2 linked regions of the Sus scrofa genome follow. Each later gene encodes a partner of the first gene's protein in a complex. Links are inferred from orthologs where the notes say so. Each region holds a gene or a part of one and is shown on either strand. Other genes may lie near its edges.

Region 1 (10,078 bases):
GCCCTGGGAAAGTTGAGGGGAAGCTGGGGAAGTGGCTCTGGGCCTTGATCTTCACCCATGTTTGGAGTACCCCTGCACAGGGTGGTGATCCTCTGAACCCTGGTTTCCCCATCAACGAATCTATGTGTGGGGCGATGTCTTTGGCTTTAGAAAGCCATGCCGTGTGGGCACGGACACCAGGGAATGGGATGTGCTGAGGCCAACAGAGGAGAGAATCTTGGACCAGGAGATTCTTAGGCAAATGTTTCTTTCTTGGTGTCTTTTTACAGATAGGGAAACTGAGGAGTAGAGAAGCATAGCCCAAGGTTACACAGGCATTAGGCAGAGCTGGAGGAATCTAAGAGTTCCCTGCCTGCCAGCCCGGGGCTCTGCCTGGATAGGGTGCTGGTCAGGAGAAGGCTGCCTGCCTGTCTTTCTAGAAGGCAAATAACCCCCACCTGGGAGATGAGGGGGAGGCAGCAGGGGCCTTGAAGTCAGACACACAGGCAGACAGCCTCCTCAGCAATGGCTTGTCCCCTGGGACAGGCATGCTGTGGGTTCTGACTGACTCTTCAGGAGATGGCCTCCAGACCCTGGCCCAGGATGAGGAGGGTGCGGCCCCTTAGAGCCTCCAGCTCTTGGACTCTGCCAGTCTCCCCTATTTTTCTTTGCTGTTCTTGGTCTGTCTACTCCTGGGGAGCTTCCATCCCCACCCCCTTTGTCTCTCTCTTCTTTCTCTAGCCTTATCTCCCATTCTGTCTCTTCTCCCTCTTAGCCTCTGCTCTCAGGAGAGTACAAATGGGGGTCCCCTCACTCAGTGGAGTGCCCTTCTAGCATGTTTCTCCTGTAGGAGTGTTCTATGAGGTCAGTCTCCTTCATGGGACCTCCATCTCTCCTCCATGCCACACCACACCCGACTCCCAGGGCAGACATCTTTCAGTGTGGATGAAGCTGGGCATGTGTGCAAGCATGCGACGGTGAGACCTGGAGGGGTCCTTAAATCCTACCCCCTGACCTCAGACCCACAGCCCTGTGTCCCACATTGCAGTCGAAACTTGCGGAAAACAGAGGCCCCCAGAGCAAAGTCTGTGGGATCATACATCAGAGCCAAAGTCCAGTGTTCTGCTATATCACACTGTCATTTTCAAGGGAGACACAGAGCAGTGATGCTCACAGAAGCAGAAGATAGGAGAACCCTAACCACAGATTTCCAAAACTGGGACCCCAAACCTAACTTGCAGAAATAGGGAGACCTTAGGCATCTGGAACCCAGACTGTAGACACCTCAGAAACAGCAGGCACCGAGAATCACGGGCCAGAGGGGACCCCTACCCAAAATTCAGATTACTGGGGGAACTCAAGCCTCTGACCCTGGGGACCGCACCCCCCCTCCCCCGGGGCCCCCATCCCCCGGGACCCCAGAGCAAGCCAGAAGCCTGTTCAGGAGTGCGAGCTGGGGACTTACCAGCGCGTATGCCGAGCTGAGCACCGGACAGCAGAGCAGGAGCGCCAGGCCGGGCGCGATCCGGGCGGCCCCCATTGCCACCGCCTAGGGCCCCGTCCCTCGGGGTTGCAGCCGCCGCCGGCCCTGGTGGTGGTGGTGGTGGTGGTGGTGGGGTACAGAGCTGCCTCAGGCAGGGCTGCCCCGCCCACGTTAGGGCCTAGGGGACCCCGGAGGCCCGGCGGCCCGAGGCCCCGGGGCCCGGCGCGGGGCCCATGCGCCGAGGGCTAGCGAACGAGAGAGCGCAAGGGAGAGGGAGGGAGGGAGGAAGGGAGGCAGCCCGGGGCCAGGCGGGCGGCGGGCGGGCGCCGAGAGCTGCGGAGCTGCCCGTCTGCCTCGGAGCGGAGAAATCACATCCATATGGCCGGGCCCCCCGCCCCCGGCCCGCCCCCCGCCCCCCCTCCCGCGCCCCCCCTTCCGCGCCGCCTTTTCTTTCTCTCTCTCTTTTTCTTTTGGGGAACTAGGAGCTGTGGCTTTGCCCCACGCCCAGTGGGGGTGGGGTCGGGGGAGGGGTTGGGGTCGCGGTCTGCTGGGGGCTCACGGGGCTGTTATTTTTAGCTCCGCGGCTAGCACAAGTAGGGGGACCGAGCGGGGCGGGGGGCACGTTTTGCGCCTCTTGGGGCGTGCAGCTTGGGTACGCGATCCCAACTTTGCAACGACACTGAGCCCTTTGGTGATCCGGCCGCCAGCTCCGTGCCCCTCTGGTCCCTCTGATCCCCATCCCGTCCGCGGCCGCCTACAACACTCCAGCCCCATCCTCCGCCGGAGCCCCGCCTGCGCCCGTGCCGCTAGAGCGCGCCTGCGGCCGGGACGCTCGGTCAGTCTGCCTGTCTGTCAGTCCGTCTCTGGCTCCCCCGGCCTTGGCCTCCGTTCTTCCAGCAGCCCCGAGCTCCGTTTCGGTCACTCCCTCGCTCCCTCCCTCCCCTCCCCCTTTTCTCTCTACGAAAACATTTGCAAGTTTCCAAAAAAGCCACTGAGCCGAGCGGCGCGGGGCTGGCGGCTCCACCGGGTCCGAGGAGGCGCCGCCGAGTGACACCGAGACAGACCAGTCCCTCCGCCCGGATCAGGCCCGGAGTCACCCTACTCAACTCCGGCCCCCCTCCCCTCGGTGCCAGCCCCCAACCCCGACTTACTCCGAGCGCGCCGCCGCGGCCCCCGCCTAGCCATGGATGTCGGGGACCCCCCGACAGCCTCCCCAGGACAGCGCCCCGTCCGCGGCCCCAGGGGAACTTCATGGAGCTCTCGGGATCCCCCCTGGCCGGCCTGGTCTCCAGCGCCCCCCGCCCGGCCCGCTCTCAGAGCCGCCGCCCGCCGCGCGCGTCCCTCGCCTCGGCGTCTGCCGCTCCCCCTCCCCCCTCGGCTCGGGCGCCTCTTCCCTCCCCCGCGCCCTCCCTGGGCCTCTCCCGCCCCCGCCCCCCCACCCGGTCGCCTCCGACACGGGTGTGTGGAGCCGCAGAGCGGAGCTCGCTGCCCCCTGCCCCGGGACATTTCTCTAGAGGCCGCGGCCGGAGGTTGCACAGCGGCGGGATGTGAGTGTGGAGGGGACGGGGCCGGGGAGCTCTGACATCGGGGTCCGGGAACATAGCCCGGGCCGCTGCTGCCGCTTCGTTCTCCTCTCCGGGAAGGCACAGACGTTATTTTTTTCTGATCGTCCGGCCACGGCCGGTGAATAGCGGCCTTTAGCCTCAAAGCAGGCCCTCTTCACGGGAGGTACCCCGCCCGCCCGCGGGATCCGTCGGCCCGTGGGACTCCCGCTCAGCCTGGACCAAGATCCCTGGGGAGCCTGCTCTGCCGCCGGCCCTGAGCCTGACTCCGCCGCGGCTCTCCCGGCCGCCCCGCCTTCGCCTGGACCCCCACTCTCAGGAACCTCCCGAGTGGGTCGGTGTGCAGTGCCCTAGACCCGCCCCTGTCCCTGCCTGCGTCTCTGGCCTCACGCCCCGCTCCCTCCCTCCCCAGTCTCTGGGTCTGGGTCTCTCGGAGTCTGGACCCATCCAGACTTGGGGCCCTGCCTCTCTAGCTCCTCCTCTTGACTCCACCCCTGGCTGCTTGAGGCCGCAAGACCCCTTACTAAGCCCGGACCCCACCCTGGGGTTCTGCCTCCCTCTCCCACCCCTTCACACCCGCCAAAGCTCTTGGCTGGTTCTGGTCCACTGGGGACTCTCAACTTGGGGGAAGGGCGAAAGGAGACTTTGGGGCAGGGGCCAGACGGAGGTGGAGCTTATGTTCTCCCGCCTGGAAGGGGACGCTCAGAGGAGGGGGCCTTGGACGGACACCAAGCAGTATCAAGCCGGAAGCTGAGGTGCAGAGAGGGCCTGTAGGTGCACGGAGCAGAGGGCTTTAAGGAGGGTCAGGTGAAAGCTAATGTGACTGGGAAATATCCAGGTTAAGTGGCAACCCCAGCTCATCCACTTACCAATTGTGTATCCTGGACACAAGACTCCCTGCTGTCTGAGCTTCAGTTTCCTCATCTGTAAAATGGGGAGCTGACCAGCTCTTTCAAAGGGCACTTTTAACCTTACCATTTTAGTGCCTTCAAGGGTGGTTATCCCTCTGGGTTCCCCAGAGACCCCTGTGCTCTGAGGGCCCTTCAAGCTCAGCCTGTGGAAATTGAGCTCCTTAGAGCCCCAGACCAGTCCTCCATCTCTGGGATGGCCCCTCTCTTCAGTGTCAATGAGTGCCCAAATCCAAGCCCTAAGGCCACTGGAATCCAGCTGCATCCGGCTCTCTGGGGAACCCTCCCTCCCTCTGCTCAAACCTACCTGTCTCCCAGACTGTACCCATCTGTCTTCTCCCTATATTTCTATGGCCATACTCTCTTCAAGTTTATGGTCCTGGTATTTAAGGATTGTGCTGTTTGAGGAAGTTTCTTCCCAAAGTGACTCTCTCCAATGAGTACCGTTCACTAGATTCCTGTCCTTCTCTCCATATTCACTTTTCTGCCTTTGCCTTTGTAGTTTCCTCAGCTAGGATCATACTCCTCTGCCTGGTGTAGAGGATGTCCCTCCCGTCTTGTGTCTCCGTTTCATCCATTACTGGGGGGCAGCTGTGGTTTGGGGGCTGCTTCCCATGGTGTGTGGGCTCTTAGGGAACAGGGACAGAGCTCAGGTGCTCAGAACAGGCAAGTAAAGAACAGACGTGTTTCTTCAGCTTTTGTATCTGTCTCTAAGCAATTTGATTCTAATTTTTATAATTTGACAACCACTAACAACCCTACACCCCTTGATAATAGGAAAAGAACATTCATGGACAGATTGGAGGAACTGAGAGGTAAAACTAGGGGCTGATGGGGGGGGTCCTTCTCAGATCTGACACCCAGAAAACTTGAGATTGAGAAACAAACAATATTTGTGTTTAGGAAGATCAGGGTGGGCTGTAGATTGGGCTGCAGAGAGGGATCTAATGGGCTGTTCCCCTAACCATAGCTCACATGCCTCACTCCTCCACCACTGTGGGTGGGGCCGTTGACCCCCTAACTCACCCCCAGGCCTCTGGTTAAAGTGCTACCATGGTGGTGGTGGGGGTGTGTGTCACACATTAACTGGTAGCACCCCAGTGCCTGGCAGAGCACAGCCCACCCTTTTTGACAGGCAGGCCCCAGAGCCCCAGGGTCTGTTTCTGGTCAGTTTCAGGTCAGTTTCAATGGCATTTGGAAAGTCATGGTTGGGGGTAGGGAATGGGAGTCCCTGTGGGGACTCCCCTCTTTGATCCCCAAGCTGGGGCCTAGAGGGAGGAACCAAGGCTGTCATTGGAGCTCAGAACCAGAGCAGGGTGGGGGTGGGGTAGGGTGGGGGACTTAACTCTGTTGCAGCAGTCCTAAGCTGACAGACCTCTGCTGCTGGCACTGCCATCACCGGTAGAGCTCTGGCCAAGGTACACAGACCCTGATGCCTGGGTGGGGACCAGATTCTAACAGGAAAGACAGGCTTTCTGAGCCCAGCAGCGTGGCCCCACTCCCTCAGAAAACCCCTTTCCCTAACCTGGAGGCTCTCTGGGAATACTGGCCTGATTACTCCCACACTTCATCCCCTCACCCATAACCCCGAAGTCAGCTTGAATCCTAATCTCAGCCCTGATCCCAGACTGAGCTTTACCCCCAGGCTGAGTCCTTATCCCGGTCTGACCTCTAACCTCTGGCTGAACCCTGACCCCAGGCTGAGCCTCCACCAAGCCTCAGCCCCAGACCTCTTTCCAGGTTTGTAGGCCCTTCTGGAAGCTTTTCAAGGCAAGGGGCTGGTGGGGAGGGGATGGCCAGGCCATAAGTGAACCGAGGTGCCACTTTTACAGCCATTTCGGCTGCTCATAAACACCCCCCACCCGGATGAGTCATTGGAGGCTCCCAGGCAGCCTGTCAAGCAGCCCCCTCCCCTTACAGCAGGAAGCCTGGCTTTCTCACTTCTCAGGAAGGGGCTGGGTTGCCCTGTCCCAAGCAGGAAGCACTCGTGGGGCAGGTGACTGGGGGTACAGGATCCCTATCCCTTCTCATCACATAGTCACAGCCTCCCTGCTGCGGTAACACCAGCTCCATAGTTATCTCCTGGCAGGCATACTTTGGTTGCCCCACAGGCACAGATACACACACTAACCCAGCATGGTGCCCCAACCTTGTCCCTCACTGCATCCGGTTCCCAGGGCTAGACCCACTCACCTGGAGCCCACAAGACCTTCCAAGTAGGGTTTGGAGTCACAGAGGAGACTCAAATTGGCCATGGGGAGGCCATGGATAGCCCTGAGAGGCTTCTGTGGTTCAGGCCTAAGCCAGGATATTGCTGTTTGGGACAGGAAAAGGCCTGAGTCAAAGTTTCACTTGAAAAGAAAAATTAATTATTTTTTACCAAGCCATGTACCAGCCCAGGACTTTGTCCTAGACCCCTGGTCAGGGAGCAGAGGCAGGTCCAAACATACCAGTGTTCAGGTGCTCTGGGTTAGGCCCTCCCTGCCACTGTCCATGGGTTTGCCTGCCAGGCATCCAGGCCAGCTCAGCCCCTCAGGTGTTTGTGTGCCTCAGTAGTCCTCTCCCTGCTCTGCCAACCCTTTCTCCAACTAGCTTACTGTCTGTTTCTGTGTCTCTGCCTGCCCCTTCTAGCCTTTTCCATAGCCCAGAAATTTCAGGCCACCATGAGTTATAAGCACAGCCCCTATGAGTGACTTCATTCAGATTTTGGGCCTTTGTAAAAATCGGGTGGAGGCTGAGGGTAGTTCATACCCAGGTCACAAGCAGAGGACTGAGGCTGAGAAGGTCTGCCCTCTAAGCACTGGCTACCCAGTGTCCCCCAGCTAAGAGAGACGTGGGGACCCTTGCTCTACCCAGCCCTTGTCCTGATCCCTGCAGACCCACAGCCCACCCTATATCTGACTCCTTCCCCACTGAAAATGGACTTCAGGTCTGAAACCAGCCAGCAAGCTTCATGGGCTGCCCCCCTACCACATATACCCCACCAAGTACTAGGTAGGCTCAGGGCCTGCTTAGGTAGTTATAGGTCACAGAGGCAGGGGGTTGTGGACAGGATGACCTCCCTCTGTGGCTCTGTGGAATGAGCTATAGCAGAATCAGTGCTGGACTTGGACACTGAGGGTGAGGACATGCGCAGACAGGATGGAAGAGACTATGCAAGATTCTGGACCCTCACCTCAGGGCCCAGAGAGCCTGATTGAAGACTGCCCTTCTGCCTGAGCCCAGTCTGAGCTGGTTTGAGTCTGGAAGTCCCAGGCTCAGCCTGACGAGGTGTAATGATTCACGTGGCAGCTGCTGCTCCACGCATTCCAGCCACAGCCCCCAGTGCTTGGCATGTGAGGCGGCTGGCCCGGAACCACCCCCAGCCACTGGGTCACGTTCTTAGGGCCCCCATCCCTAGGGGCGACCTCTCCTCAGGTCTTCCAGGATCCTGGGGAGAACACTTTATAGTTTCCAAAGTACTTTCTAGTTCAGAAGCTGGAAAGAGAGGCAGGGAACTTGTCAATACCTGGCCTCCAGGTAGGGAAAATGAGGCTTAGAGGGTAGACTGGGCTGCCCAGGGGCTCATAATGAGATTATGACAAACAGTACTTGCAGGGCTCCTGCCCCTGGCCTGAGCTGTTTCCAAGTGTCTGGCTCCAGTGGGGTATCTCAGGGCACGTAGGCCGTTCTGTGACCAGGGCCAGTGTGTGTGGAGGGGGTCGGGGCAGATTTCAGCTTTACAGGTCACTGGGCAGCTGTGTCCAAGAGGGTAGACCTCCTTTGCCCTCTGTCAAGCTTCCCACTGCCCTGAGCCTCCACCCATGGAGCCTCTCCCTCCTCTGAGCCCACTTACACCCCTGACTCCCATCCTCACTGCCACGGAAGTCAAAGGCTGGGGCTTAGTGCCTGTTCTGCCCTGCCCTGTGCATCTCTTTCCTGTTTGTGGCCTCGGTTTCCTGATATGTTATTAACACGGGCAATTCAAGACTTGAAGGGGCTCCATAAAATGACCGAGTGCTTGGGTCCTGGGCATACCTGTGAATCTGAAAACCTGAGGTCCTCTCTCCCCTAGAGCCTTGGGGGCTGCCTGTGCCGGCCAGGCTGTGTTCCTCCAGTGGGCCCCAGCTTAGGGCTCTGAGGGGTGAGTCTTGCCCTCAGCTCCGGGGACAGGAAGTCGTATTTTGGTCCTGGGTCCTGAGGAAGGAGGCAGGGGGAGAATGGCAGCTCAGACCCAGTCATGTTTACCTGGGCCCAGCCCCCTCTGAGCTCAACAGACCCATTCATTGGGAGCCCCATAAACCCTTTGGGGCTCCCTGAGGTTCAGAGTGCCTGGACGCCAGGCCTGGCTGCCACCCCCAGACCTTCTGGGGGCCATGGGCAGCAGGTAGGGCATGAGTGAGGCAGAACTAGGGATGGCTGTGGGAGCCTCAGACATGCCTCAGCTTCCCGATCTTTGCATTGGAACAACAATTCCTGCACGTGCAGTTGGGAAAATCAAAGGGGTCTTCCTGGCTGTGTTCCCTCAGAGAAGGCTCCTGAGAGCATATCCTCAAAGCATAATGGCCTTCAAGGCAACCCTGGAATCAGAGCTGACCTCCTTGTGAAGACCCCACACCTGGCCTTGGGTTGTCCACAAGCCACACCTTGGCAAGATGTGCATGAGTGTGCAGCCCTTTAGAGTGGAGGGAGTCCCTTGTCCTCTCTAGTGCTCTCTTCTCATCTCTTCAAAGGCACATCTTCATCAGAAGTAGAAACTTGGGGACTGGATGGGTTGTTGAGAGATGAGGGCCTAGTGTCTGCTCACCGTCAACTGAGGAGGGCTGACTTATATCAGGGTACCCTCTACGCTGTCTGCAGTCCCCTGACTCGGCTTAATTGGGTGGCGTAAGCTATCATCCTGTGGTCCCTCAAAATGAAGGGGATGCAGCAGCAACATTTGGTGAAAAGAACTGTGGGCCAGGGGTCTGAATGCTACATAGCTCCTGTGTGCCTTGGAATAATCCCTTCTTCCCCCTGGTCTTGTGCCCCGACTGCTGACAGGGGTTAGAGGGGACTCCATCCAAAACTCCTCTCACCCCTGGGGTTCTCATGCAGGGCAGGGAGTGAGAGGATAGAAGCAAGACCTCCCACCCAAGACCCCTTTCAGCAGCGCCCCTGCGTGCCCCAGACCATCTGGAAAACTGCTCAGGGACCCTGGTTGGGGGCAAGAGCGGAGTCTCCTTTCCCAGACACCTTCCGGGTGGGGTGTGACTTCCCGCTCCAGTGGTTGTAAAATCCCCTGAAGCCTGGTGGGTCCCTAGTGGGGGGTCGTGTGTGCCTCGGAATACCCCCCTCCCAGGCGTGTTTGACACGTGTTTCCGCCTCTCCCGGCGTGGGCTCCTGCTGCTGCTATTTATAACCTTTAAGAGCTCCTGCCGACTGCAAAGTTTTCTTAAACTCAAAATATCACCGAGGTCCTGGGCACGCGTTCCAGAGGCTGGCTGGGCCCTGTGGTTTGAAGGGACGAGGGGGCCGGGAAAGAGGAAGGAGTGGGAAAGGGGTTAGTTCAGACACTGGATCCTGCCTGGGGTGGTGGTGGGGAGACTTGGGTGGGGGACCCCTAGTTCTTGACACTGGGTCTTGCTCAGCCTAGAGAGACCCTCTATGTGGGTGGTCCTTGTTCAGGCTGGGCCATTTGAGGACTGCTGGCCACCTCTCTGGGCCTCAGTTTCCTCTCATCCTGCATGCCTCAGGGCACGTTAGCTGGGTGAAGCAGTGATCTGGCAGTGATACTGGGAACGTCTCTGGCTGGGACCAGGGCTATGTCTGCTTGGCTATCCAGCACCCGGCACAGAGCCTGTTCCAGAGGCCTGGTGGACATTGGCTGAACTGGCCAGAAGGAGAAGTACTTTGGGGAAGTTTATAAAACTGCCTTTGGGAGAGCAACATTCAGAGAGGGTCAATGGCATGCCAGAAGTCGCTCAGCTCATCCAGACTAGATCCTTAGTCCTTCCCAACATCCAGAGTCTTCTGAGGCCGTGCAAGAAGCCGAAAGGCTTCAACTTGGGACAGGTGGGTCCCAACCTTGGAGGAGGTTCCAGGAGTAACAGAAGAATGGCTCTGCATAGCTCAGAGACCTCCCTGGAGCTAGAGGAGACACTGGTCACCACCTGGCCCTGGGGAGG
Region 2 (10,169 bases), on another chromosome or scaffold:
TAAAGATCCAAAGGCTTTCCCAAGTGACACTCTGGTTTACACTGTGGCAAGAGAGGGATATTTCTTGCTGTCTTTAGAAAGGCTATCTCATCCTAGGCATCCAGAATCTTATTATTCACCCTCAGTCCCCACTAGGAGAGATGCTTCTTTCTGACTGTAAAAACAGTGTATCTTATCCCTCTTCCATTCCACATAAACATGGAGAAGGCTATAAACACATGCAGGGATGACACTCACTGATAGAATGGACAAAAAGCAACAAATAATATTTTAGTTGTGAAGGTAGCTGCATATTTCATCTTTGAAGTGCTGCTCGGGTATAATGGATCCCAGAGTTTATAACAGCTTATACATGTAAAGAGATTCATGGCTTATTAAATGCTACCTATCTGAGAACCACACTCACAATATCCATCAATAAAAAGTTATGGAGGAAAAAAAAGAAAGAATTGAATATTACCAAAAACACTTGAAAAATTCAAGTTATTATATGCTGTCCTTTAAAACATTTTTATGAATTATCTCTAAAGATAGAAAAGTCTAGAGGCTGGTGAACAGGAAGGAAGAAAAGTTTTTTTCTGATAGATCAGGAACTCAGTAGCTCAATATCCCACAGAAGAGCTTAAAGCAAAAAAAAGTCAACCATTAGATAGTTACTATCTGATCTGTCAACAAAACATGGAATTAGAAGAACTATAGCTGGATTTCCCAGTCCTGGAAATTTCTTCTTAATGTTAAGCTCCCAAAGCCATACTAATTCCCACTGAGCAAACAGAAGGCAAAAGTATCCATCTCACATTAAACTTCCTATGATCCAAGAGGAAAAAACACTATGGCCTTTTGTCCCTTTCAATTGTGAGGAATATAGTAGGTTGTCTAATCCTAGCTCTAGAGAACTTGAGAATGCTAAGAAAAGCTGAGCTTTTCAAAGCAAAAAGCTGGGCTCAGCTCTTCTCTGTAACTGTGATATCAGCCTTTTGTACCCACATAGCCCCTAGCTCTCTTATTTCTAAATGGTTTCCTTCTATCTAATGTCTGCAGTTCCAGAGACTGATGGTTCAGATTAACTGTGTGTCAGATCTTGGCAGCTGTAACTCTTGTGGGAAGGTGAAAGCATACTTTAAAAAATCTGAAGGTCACAAAATTATTACTAGTGCACACATGATTTTAGAGAGGACTACAAGATAAAACTCCTAGGCATACACACAGAAGCCTTCCATAATTTGTATCATACTTACTTTTTTAGGGTCATTACCCATCTGCCTTCTCCTTCCACTAGCATGTCTTCAGTTTCTTTGTTTCCATGCCTTTGCATATGTTGTTTCTTCTTGTTCTTTCTCACCTTTTCTGATGGAAAACTCATAATCATCCTTGAAATCACTTAAGCGTCTCAGGAAAACAGCTTCAAACAATTCCAGGGAAATAGACACTCTTCCTCTGTGCTTTTATTTTATTATTATTATTTATTTATTGGTCTTTTTAGGGCTGCACCTGCGGCACATGGAGGTTCCCAGGCTAGGGGTCCAATCGGAGCTGTAGCCACTGGCCTACACCACAGCCACAGCAACGCGGGATTGGAGCCGCATCTGCAACTTACACCATAGCAAACGGCAATGCCAGATCCTTAACCCACTGAGTGAGGCCAGGGATTGAACCCTCAACCTCATGGTTCCTAGTCAGGTTCATTAACCACTGAGCCATGACGGGAACTCCTCTCTGTGCTTTTTATAAGCCTTTGTTCATATGGCTATTATAGCACCTATCACATTATATTCTAATTTATATGTCAACTTTCAGGGTAGGGACAATGTCTCAATTACCTAGTGATTAACACAGCCTCTGGCAATTCAGTGCATTTTTTGAAAGAATAAACTTTGTTTTCTTTATTTTTCTGTAAAGCTAGTTTAATAATATGGTTATCTTCAATATGACAATTTATTATTAAATAATGGTAATAGGAGGAAAACAGTGAAAGCACAAATTGCATCACTCCTGGAAGTCTGTCAATTATGTCAAACTTATCTGAAGAAGTGGGGAAAATCTCCAAATTAAATGTTAAATATGGCTTTATAGTAACAATGAAAAATGTGTTTATAAAACCATTTGTGTTTCTGACTCTTCTCAATAGAGTATAAACACACACACACACATCAAGTTTAGACTTTGCATCAGAAGAGGTCTTTTAAAGGATCAAAAAAAATAGATTTTTTAGTCAAAAGGGATCTCTTGGTTATTTAGTTTAAGCCTCTTATATATGAATCTCTATGTATGTGTCATGTATGAATCTCTATAACATCCTCGATAAATGCTGACCTAGCTTCTACGTGAACACTTCCAATAATGGGGATCTTACTACTTAGAAAGGTAGTTGAGTCCTTATTTTAACAATTATAATATCCAAGTGAGCCCAAATCTGCCTTCCTATAATCTTTAGCCATTGGACTCAGTCCTTTCTTCTTTTTTTTTTTTTTTTTTTTTTTTTTTTGTCTTTTTTGCTATTTCTTGGGCCGCTCCCGTGGCCTATGGAGGTTCCCAGGCTAGGGGTCAAATCGGAGTTGTAGCCACCGGCCTATGCCAGAGCCACAGCAGCGCGGGATCCGAGCCGCGTCTACAACCTATACCACAGCTCATGGCAACGCCGGATCGTTAACCCACTGAGCAAGGGCAGGGACCGAACCCGCAACCTCATGATTCCTAGTCAGATTCGTTAACCACTGCGCCACGACGGGAACTCCTCAGTCCTTTCTTCTTAAACCATAGAAAATAGTCCTTTTCCTTAAGGTAGCCCCATAAAAAACTAAAAACAGCTACATCATCATCACAAGTCTTTTCCAGTTCATTCAGCTCCTGTGTGTGTGTGTGTGTGTGTGTGTGTGTTGTGGTGTGTGTGTGTGTGTGTGTGTCTTTTTAGGGTGACACCCACGGCATATGGAAGTTCCCAGGCTAGGGGTCCAATCGGAGCTACAGCTACCAACCTACACCACAGCCACAGCAATGCACAATCCCAGCTGCATCTGCAACCTACACCACAGCTCACGGCAACGCCAGATCCTTAACCCACTGAGCAGTGCCAGGGATCGAAGCCACATCCTCATGGATACTAGTCAGGTTCGTTAACCACTGAGCCACGACAGGAATCCCTCATTCAACTCCATTTGATATGCTATTGTCATGTTTATCAACATTTTTCACCAGCCTGGTTCATATCCTCTAGATGTGTTGCAGTTTGTCTCTAATGCTTCTGAAATGGAGCCTAGAACAATACTCCAAATGAGATTTGCCCTATGTAGAGGATTTCCCAAAGCAGCACTAATACATATATTTCATTCTGACCTTCGTACAGGTGTTTTATTTTATTTTATTTTATTTTATTTTTTTGGCCACACCTGTGGCATGCAGAAGTTCCTGGGCCAGGGGTCAAACCTGCACCACAGCTGTAACCAGAGCCACAGCATGACAATGCCAGATCCTTAACCCACTGAGCCATGAGGGAATTCCTGCACAAGTATTTTAAATTTAGACTGGCTCTCACTTAATGTAGAGTCAAACCTAGGCAAGAGCTAGCAGAAAAGAGAATAACATGAAGCTGGGGTAGGAGAAGAGCTGAGAGAACTGATCTAGTTCTGGGACTTTAGTTGGGAGGCAAGCTGCCTAAACAAACTCTAGATTTACCGAGGAGAATCAAGGGGTTTTTGATAGATGGGGACCAGGCTGTAGAATATTTGAAATTAGACAAGTGACAGCATCTTGCCTCCACTCCTAAACTCCATAAGGTTTTGGAGTAGGCCCTCCATCACTAGGTAGGGAACATGAGAAACAAAACCCAATTGCTGGGCAAAGAACCTGCAAAAGGTTAGGAAAATTAGGGTTCAAAGAAGGGCTACAGGGAGTTCCTGTTGTGGGTCAGTGGTAACAAACCTAATATCCGTGAGGATGCAGGTTCAGTCCCTGGCCTTGCTCAGTGGGTTAAAGATCTGGTGTTACCATGAGCTGTGCTGTAGGTCGAAGACATGGCTCGGATCCAGCATTGCTGTGGTTGTGGTGTAGGCCAGCAACTGCAGCTCTGATTCGACCCCTAGCCTGGGAACTTCCATATGCCACACATATGCCACCCACCTCCCCGCCAAAAAAAGAAGGGCGACATTTCTACGAGAAAACTGAGGTAGTAAGAGTCAAAATAGTTCTGGAGTCACTGTTAACTCCATCTTTTCCACTTTCTAAACCTCAGTTTCCTCATTTGAAAATGGGGATCACGATAGTATTTACTTTAAAGGATTACTGTGAAAGCTTAGTGGGATAATATATGTAAAGATTGGCATATAGTTACTGCTTTTCAAATGTTTTCACTGCAAATTAAAATGCATAAATAAAATGTAGGTTAAATGAATTTTAAAATAATTTCACTTTTGGAGCTTTTATAATTAATTATGTACTAAGCGCATATTCTCAAAACATTTTTAACACTTCCTTTAAGAAAAACGCTATACTGGAATTCTCTCGTGGCTCAATGGATTAAGGATCCGGCATCACTATAGTGGCATGTGTTCAATCCCTGGCCCAGGAACTTTTGCATGCCATGATTGTGGCTGAAAAAGAAAGAAGGAAAGAAGGGAGGAAGGAAAGGAAGGAAGGAAGGAAGGAAGGAAGGAAGGAAGAGAAAGAAAGGAAGGAAAACACTAAACACTATACCTTTTTTTTTGAAAGATGATCAGGAATGATATGGATTGGTTGAAAATGACTTGTAAAGTAAGTGCAATATATTATGATTCATTATAATCCTCATAATAATTGTGACAATATTATGTATATAACAAATATACTAAATTTTAGATTTTACTTTGAAATAACGACTTTACCATGAATTTTTGAAATTGGTCTTTTTTTGTAGCAAAAATTTAGTAATCCAGTCAGAATTACAATTCACTATTTGTTAGAAATTTTTGCATAAACCCTTTTCCCAGCCCTGCACTGTTTTCCTTTTATATCCAATTATATAACATCTAAGAGGAATAAGCACCGCCCAGTGGGTGTGTGTATGCTACTCTGATCCTATAGTTAAAATTCAGAGAATTGGAAGTGACGTCATCTGTAATAAGAAAAAAGCTTCTCTTGGTGTGTGGAAGACATATATATAAAAGTCACGTTTAAGGGTCTGCAGATCAATTCATCAGCCTTCTCGGGTTTACTCAACTTTGAGAAAGCATCAGCTGCTAACACACCTGAAAGAAGATCGTGTCCTAAGACGTTGTGTGGTGAGTAATCTTTATTTTCTCTTTTAAATTTCATATGAGTTCTTTTTATGACCAAGCAACACATTTAAAAATGTGTATCATTTTCTATTAATGTCATGCTGTTCATTAGAATTAAATATTAAGGGAGGGATTGACTTATGTTTAATATAAAAATGACACAATGCAAAATAAATGTATGCTACTGAAATAGTGTTAAAGCACTTATTTTTTTGTGATTAAAATCTTTTGAGATGTCTTGCTTTTTAAAACTCATCTGAAATTACATGAAAAACAATTAAAATTTGGCATGATGTACTTTAATGGTATCTTATTAAAATTTTGAAGTAAAACAGCCTAAAGAGAAATGAATAATTCTGATTTAAATAAGTAGAGTTTTATTTCTATGAGTTAAATTCTATTTTTCTGCAGAATATCCTCATAGGAGCTCAATCTGTGTACTATGCTTAAAGAAACTCAGTTTTATGGCTGAATATTTATTCCCTTTACATAAAGACTTTTCTAATGTTCTATTCTGAAAACTGAATTTAAGAATGTTTTACAACTGTTTTTCAGCTTTTTAATGACATTCTTTAAGAGCTCATCTCTCTACTAAGAACAAGAAAGCAAGACAGAAGCAGTAGGTGAATGTGCCAAAGCTAGGGTTAGGTACCAAGCTCCTGTCCTGTAGCTACAATGATTATTTGTAACATAAACCAAAAATGAAGACCATTCATTTGTTACTCTTTCAGTAGCTTTATACTGCACAGTGAAAATACAGTAGATTATAATGTTCCTTATGCTACTTCTAAATGATGCAGGTTCCCTTTAAAATATGAGTACATAACCACCCTATATGTACATTAAAGTGAAGAACATTAAGTATTAAGAAAAGGCACTTCAATGGTAAAAGGCTTTGCAATTCTTGAATTGCAGACTAAGGTAAGACTGTACTATTTTGAGATGAAAAGCTTTATAAGCAAAAGAGGAAAGTATTAAAAATTATACTCAAATGAAATTGTTAATAAGCTGAAAAGATAAGATACAGACAAGGATTTCATATGGAGTCAAAGCTCTAGATTCATATAACAAGTAATTAATTAGATGACATTAAATGATTTGACACATTCTTTTTAATGGTAGAAAAAGTGTTTGTTCTGAATAACAACAATCTCTAAATCAGAGCCTATTAATTTGGTATTTATGGTTATTACTGCAGTGCCTGAAAGGAAATTTACTTATTAAAAAGAGATTTGCTAAGTAAATAAACAGTGTTGACAATTAATTAAGAGAAGTAGTCATTTTCAAGAAAATTATAAGCATTTAGTCATAATTAACACAAAATGTGGGAGGAAATTCTAAAAAGTAAGCTTTTTGATTTTTTTTTTTTTTTTTTTTTTTTTTTTTTTGCTATTTCTTGGCCTGCTCCTGCGGCATATGGAGGTTCCCAGGCTAGGGGTCCAATCGGAGCTGTGGCCACCTGGCCTACACCAGAGCCACAGCAACGCGGGATCTGAGCCGCGTCTGCAACCTACACCACAGCTCACGGCAATGCTGGATCCCCAACCCACTGAGCAAGGGCAGGGACCGAACCCGCAACCTCATGGTTCCTAGTCGGATTCGTTAACCACTGCGCCACGATGGGAACTCCAGCTTTTTGATTGTTAATGTGGCTTTAATGTAATATTCATACATTAAAATTTGCACAGGAACTCTAAAAAAGATACCTTAGAAAGTATAACTAATTTAATTTCTTGGCCAAATTATGTGTATATATAATATATATTAATGTATCTGTAAAATCAAGAGGTTGATTCCCAAAGTTTCTCTGGAAAATCAATCCAATTAGTTACTGTCACATTCTGGGCAAAATTGTATGGTTATAAATATAAACTACTATAAATTTAATTGTATATTTTGGAATATTTAAAATCTTTTTAACTATTATATTTTGCTTTTTCTTTTAGTGAAGATGATGTCTGCAAAAGACACAGTTAAAGTAATGGTTGTCATGCTTGCAATTTGTTTTCTTGCAAGATCAGATGGGAAGCCTATTAAGTAAGTACTGTAGTCTGTTCTGCACAGTGAGGGCATGGGAATTGGATTTTTTATTTTATTTTTTTTAGGGCCACACCCGAGGCATAAGGAGGTTCCCAGGCTAGGGGTCGAATGTGAGATGTAGCCGGTGGCCTACACCATAGCCATAGCAATGCTAGATCCAAGCCAAGTCTGCGACCTACACCACAGCTCATGGTAATGCCAGATCCTTAACCCACTGAGTGAGGCCAGGGATCAAACCTGTGTCCTCATGGATGCTAGTCAGATTCGTTTCCGCTGAGCCAAGATGGAAACTCAGGGAATTGGACTTTTAAGGTTGGCTTTATAATTTGGAAGAGGAAGGCTACTGGAGTGATCTCTGATTCTGTTCCCTCCAGGAAGAGATCTGTGAGTGAAATACAGCTTATGCATAACCTGGGCAAACACCTGAGCTCTCTGGAGAGAGTGGAATGGCTGCGAAAGAAGCTGCAGGATGTGCACAACTTTGTTGCCCTCGGAGCTTCTATAGTTCACAGAGATGGTGGTTCCCAGAGACCCCGAAAAAAGGAAGACAATGTCCTGGTTGAGAGCCATCAAAAAAGTCTCGGAGAAGCAGATAAAGCTGCTGTGGATGTATTAATTAAAGCTAAACCCCAGTGAAAACACATATGATCAGAGAGCACTGCTCTAGACAGCATAAGGCAAACAATATTTCATGCTGCTAATGTTTTCAATCTCTATTAAGATTAAGTGCCAATATTTCTAATATTACTAAACTTGATGGGTAATCATTGCTAGCCATGATTGCTGAAATTTTAATTGATCATTTTGATTCTACTTTTACTCATTTAAGAGCTTCTTTTAACAATTCTATTTCTATTGATTCTAAATAAATGAAGTATTTCTTCCTTGTTATAAAAATGTCTTTCAGTTATGAGTAACACCACTATGTTTAAATTGATCATGACTAAGAAGAACAACACAAAATGTTTTTTAACCATGTGTTTCACATTCTGATATTTTGAAATTACCCTTTATATATTATCAAAGTACCAGGTCACAGAATCATCACTAGTTAGATACTATTATTCTCTTCATTTCTGGAAAGGAAGTGAAATGCTCGGCAAGGAAAGTCAGAAAGTGGTCTGAAACTTGAATGTAAAAGCATTTGCCTATACACATAGCCGCTGGTCATAGTCCTAGTCTGGACCCCAAATTGCAGGAATAGAACTTTTGTATTCAATAGAACATAACTTCATCAATTGTCCTCCCTCATGAGCATTTCTAACAAAATAGATTGACTTAAAGACAATTTAGAATATCAGTGGCCATTATGGGGAACTTTTGAAATCCCCAAACTCAATTTTCTTAAAACCAGAACAGACTACCATAGCTCTAAGATTTCCAAAACTGAGTGAAATTCCTAAAATGCCTATTTTGGAGATATTTTAGGCCTCCAATTATCACCAGACTCTAAAATTGCCTCTCTACAAAGTAGTATTTTTTTTTTTCTTTTTAGGGCCACACTCGAGGCCTAGGGGTCGAATCGGAGCTACAGCTGCCAGCCACTTACAATCTGAGCCATGTCTGTGACCTACACCATAGCTCACGGCAATGCCGGATCCTCAACCCACTGAGCGAGGCCAGGGATTGAACCTGCAACCTCATGGTTCCAGTCGGATTCATTTCCGCTATGCCACAATAGGAACTCCCAAAGTAGGATTTTAAGATTAACTAAGGCAAACAAGCAATTGAAGAAAGATAAAATGGCCTCATAAGCCTCATGCTCCTGGGTCTTGGCTCCTTATACTCAGGCTTCACCTCCAGCACCATCTTCTTCCTTTTTACACTGCCCACACCTCTTGTACACCCTCAGCTCCCCCTTACTAATTTCTCACTGAACTTCCCCATTCCCTTTTCCTCTAAACGTATCCTCTTAAAATCAGGCCTTCTGAGGATCCAGAGGCTAAACCTTGAATTTCTTATATTCCATGGACTATAGCTGAACTGTGGGTTATAATCAAAAATTTTCCCAAAGTAACCAAACATTCTCACAGATTTGCTGAGGAGTTGAATATAGTCATTCACACTTGTCACCCTTGTTTCTCTGACTTACATCTGTTAGTTAATGTGCTTATTGGTAAAGGCCAGGCCCAGCATTGCATGAAAACTGCTAGTTAGGAAAATCCTGAAATGTCTCTAGAATTAGAACCAGGAGATGTTTTGCTTTTTTTTTTTTTTTTTTTTTTTTTTTGATTCGTTTGTTTTTGTTTTGTTGTTGTTCTTGTTGTTTGTTGTTTTTTAGGGCCACACCCATAGCATATGGAGGGTCCCAGGCTAAGGTCAAATCGGAGCTATAGCTGCCGGCCTGCACCACAGCCACAGCAACACAGGATCTGAGCTGTGTCTGTGACCTACACCATAGCTCATGGCAACACTGGATCCTCAACCCACTGAGCAAGGCCTGGGATTGAACCCACAACCTCATGGTTCCTAGTTGGATTCGTTTCCGCTGAACCACAATGGGAACTCCAGGAGATGTTTTTATAACATATGATCAGACTTCGACAATCAATAAGCAATTTCATGGAGCAATTCCAAAGACTTTTCCAAAGCCTGCTGATTGTAGCAAAGTTTAGGTTTGCACAAAATAATCTGATGACTCTGTTCATGACTATTACAGTAACTTTAGATTACTTTTATTTTTATCCTTTTTTGCTCTGCCTGTGGCAGGACTAGTTCCTAGACCAGGGACTGAACCCAAGCCACAGCAGTGACAATGTTGGAGCCTTAATCCACTGAGCCACTAGAGAACGACCAGATTACTTTGATTCCACTTGGGTAGCTTTTAACTCTGTGTTTATTAATGGACTGAACCAGGACCTTTCCCTTCTAATAAAAAGG

The links. The genes of interacting proteins can lie anywhere in the genome.
Region 2: the proteins of PTH1R (region 1) and PTH are in contact, whole or in part, in a cryo-EM structure (PDB 9JR3), measured with the Homo sapiens proteins. The link is inferred for Sus scrofa from reciprocal best matches to the Homo sapiens genes PTH1R and PTH. Residues at the interface, in NP_000307.1 of Homo sapiens: Val31, Met32, Thr33, Lys34, Glu35, Gln37, Ile38, Leu41, Glu111, Trp112, Asp113, His114, Ile115, Ile135, Tyr136, Asp137, Phe138, Arg146, Arg162, Thr163, Ala165, Tyr167, Val171, Leu174, Thr175, Glu177, Glu180, Arg181, Phe184, Leu187; in NP_000306.1 of Homo sapiens: Ser32, Val33, Ser34, Glu35, Ile36, Gln37, Leu38, Met39, His40, Asn41, Leu42, Gly43, Lys44, His45, Leu46, Asn47, Glu50, Arg51, Val52, Glu53, Trp54, Leu55, Arg56, Lys58, Leu59, Asp61, Val62, His63, Asn64, Phe65.

The regions. Positions count from the first base shown.
Region 1 is NC_010455.5:29,746,076-29,756,153, reverse strand, and holds the start of PTH1R (parathyroid hormone/parathyroid hormone-related peptide receptor precursor), read right to left. Parts: upstream 6,215-10,078; 5' UTR 6,126-6,214; intron 1,568-6,125; 5' UTR 1,520-1,567; coding exon 1,445-1,519; intron 1-1,444.
Region 2 is NC_010444.4:45,752,237-45,762,405, forward strand, and holds PTH (parathyroid hormone precursor), read left to right. Parts: upstream 1-5,161; 5' UTR 5,162-5,252; intron 5,253-6,804; exon of another isoform or gene 6,805-7,195; 5' UTR 7,196-7,200; coding exon 7,201-7,286; intron 7,287-7,663; coding exon 7,664-7,925; 3' UTR 7,926-8,179; downstream 8,180-10,169. UniProt on the Homo sapiens protein: Parathyroid hormone elevates calcium level by dissolving the salts in bone and preventing their renal excretion. Acts by binding to its receptor, PTH1R, activating G protein-coupled receptor signaling.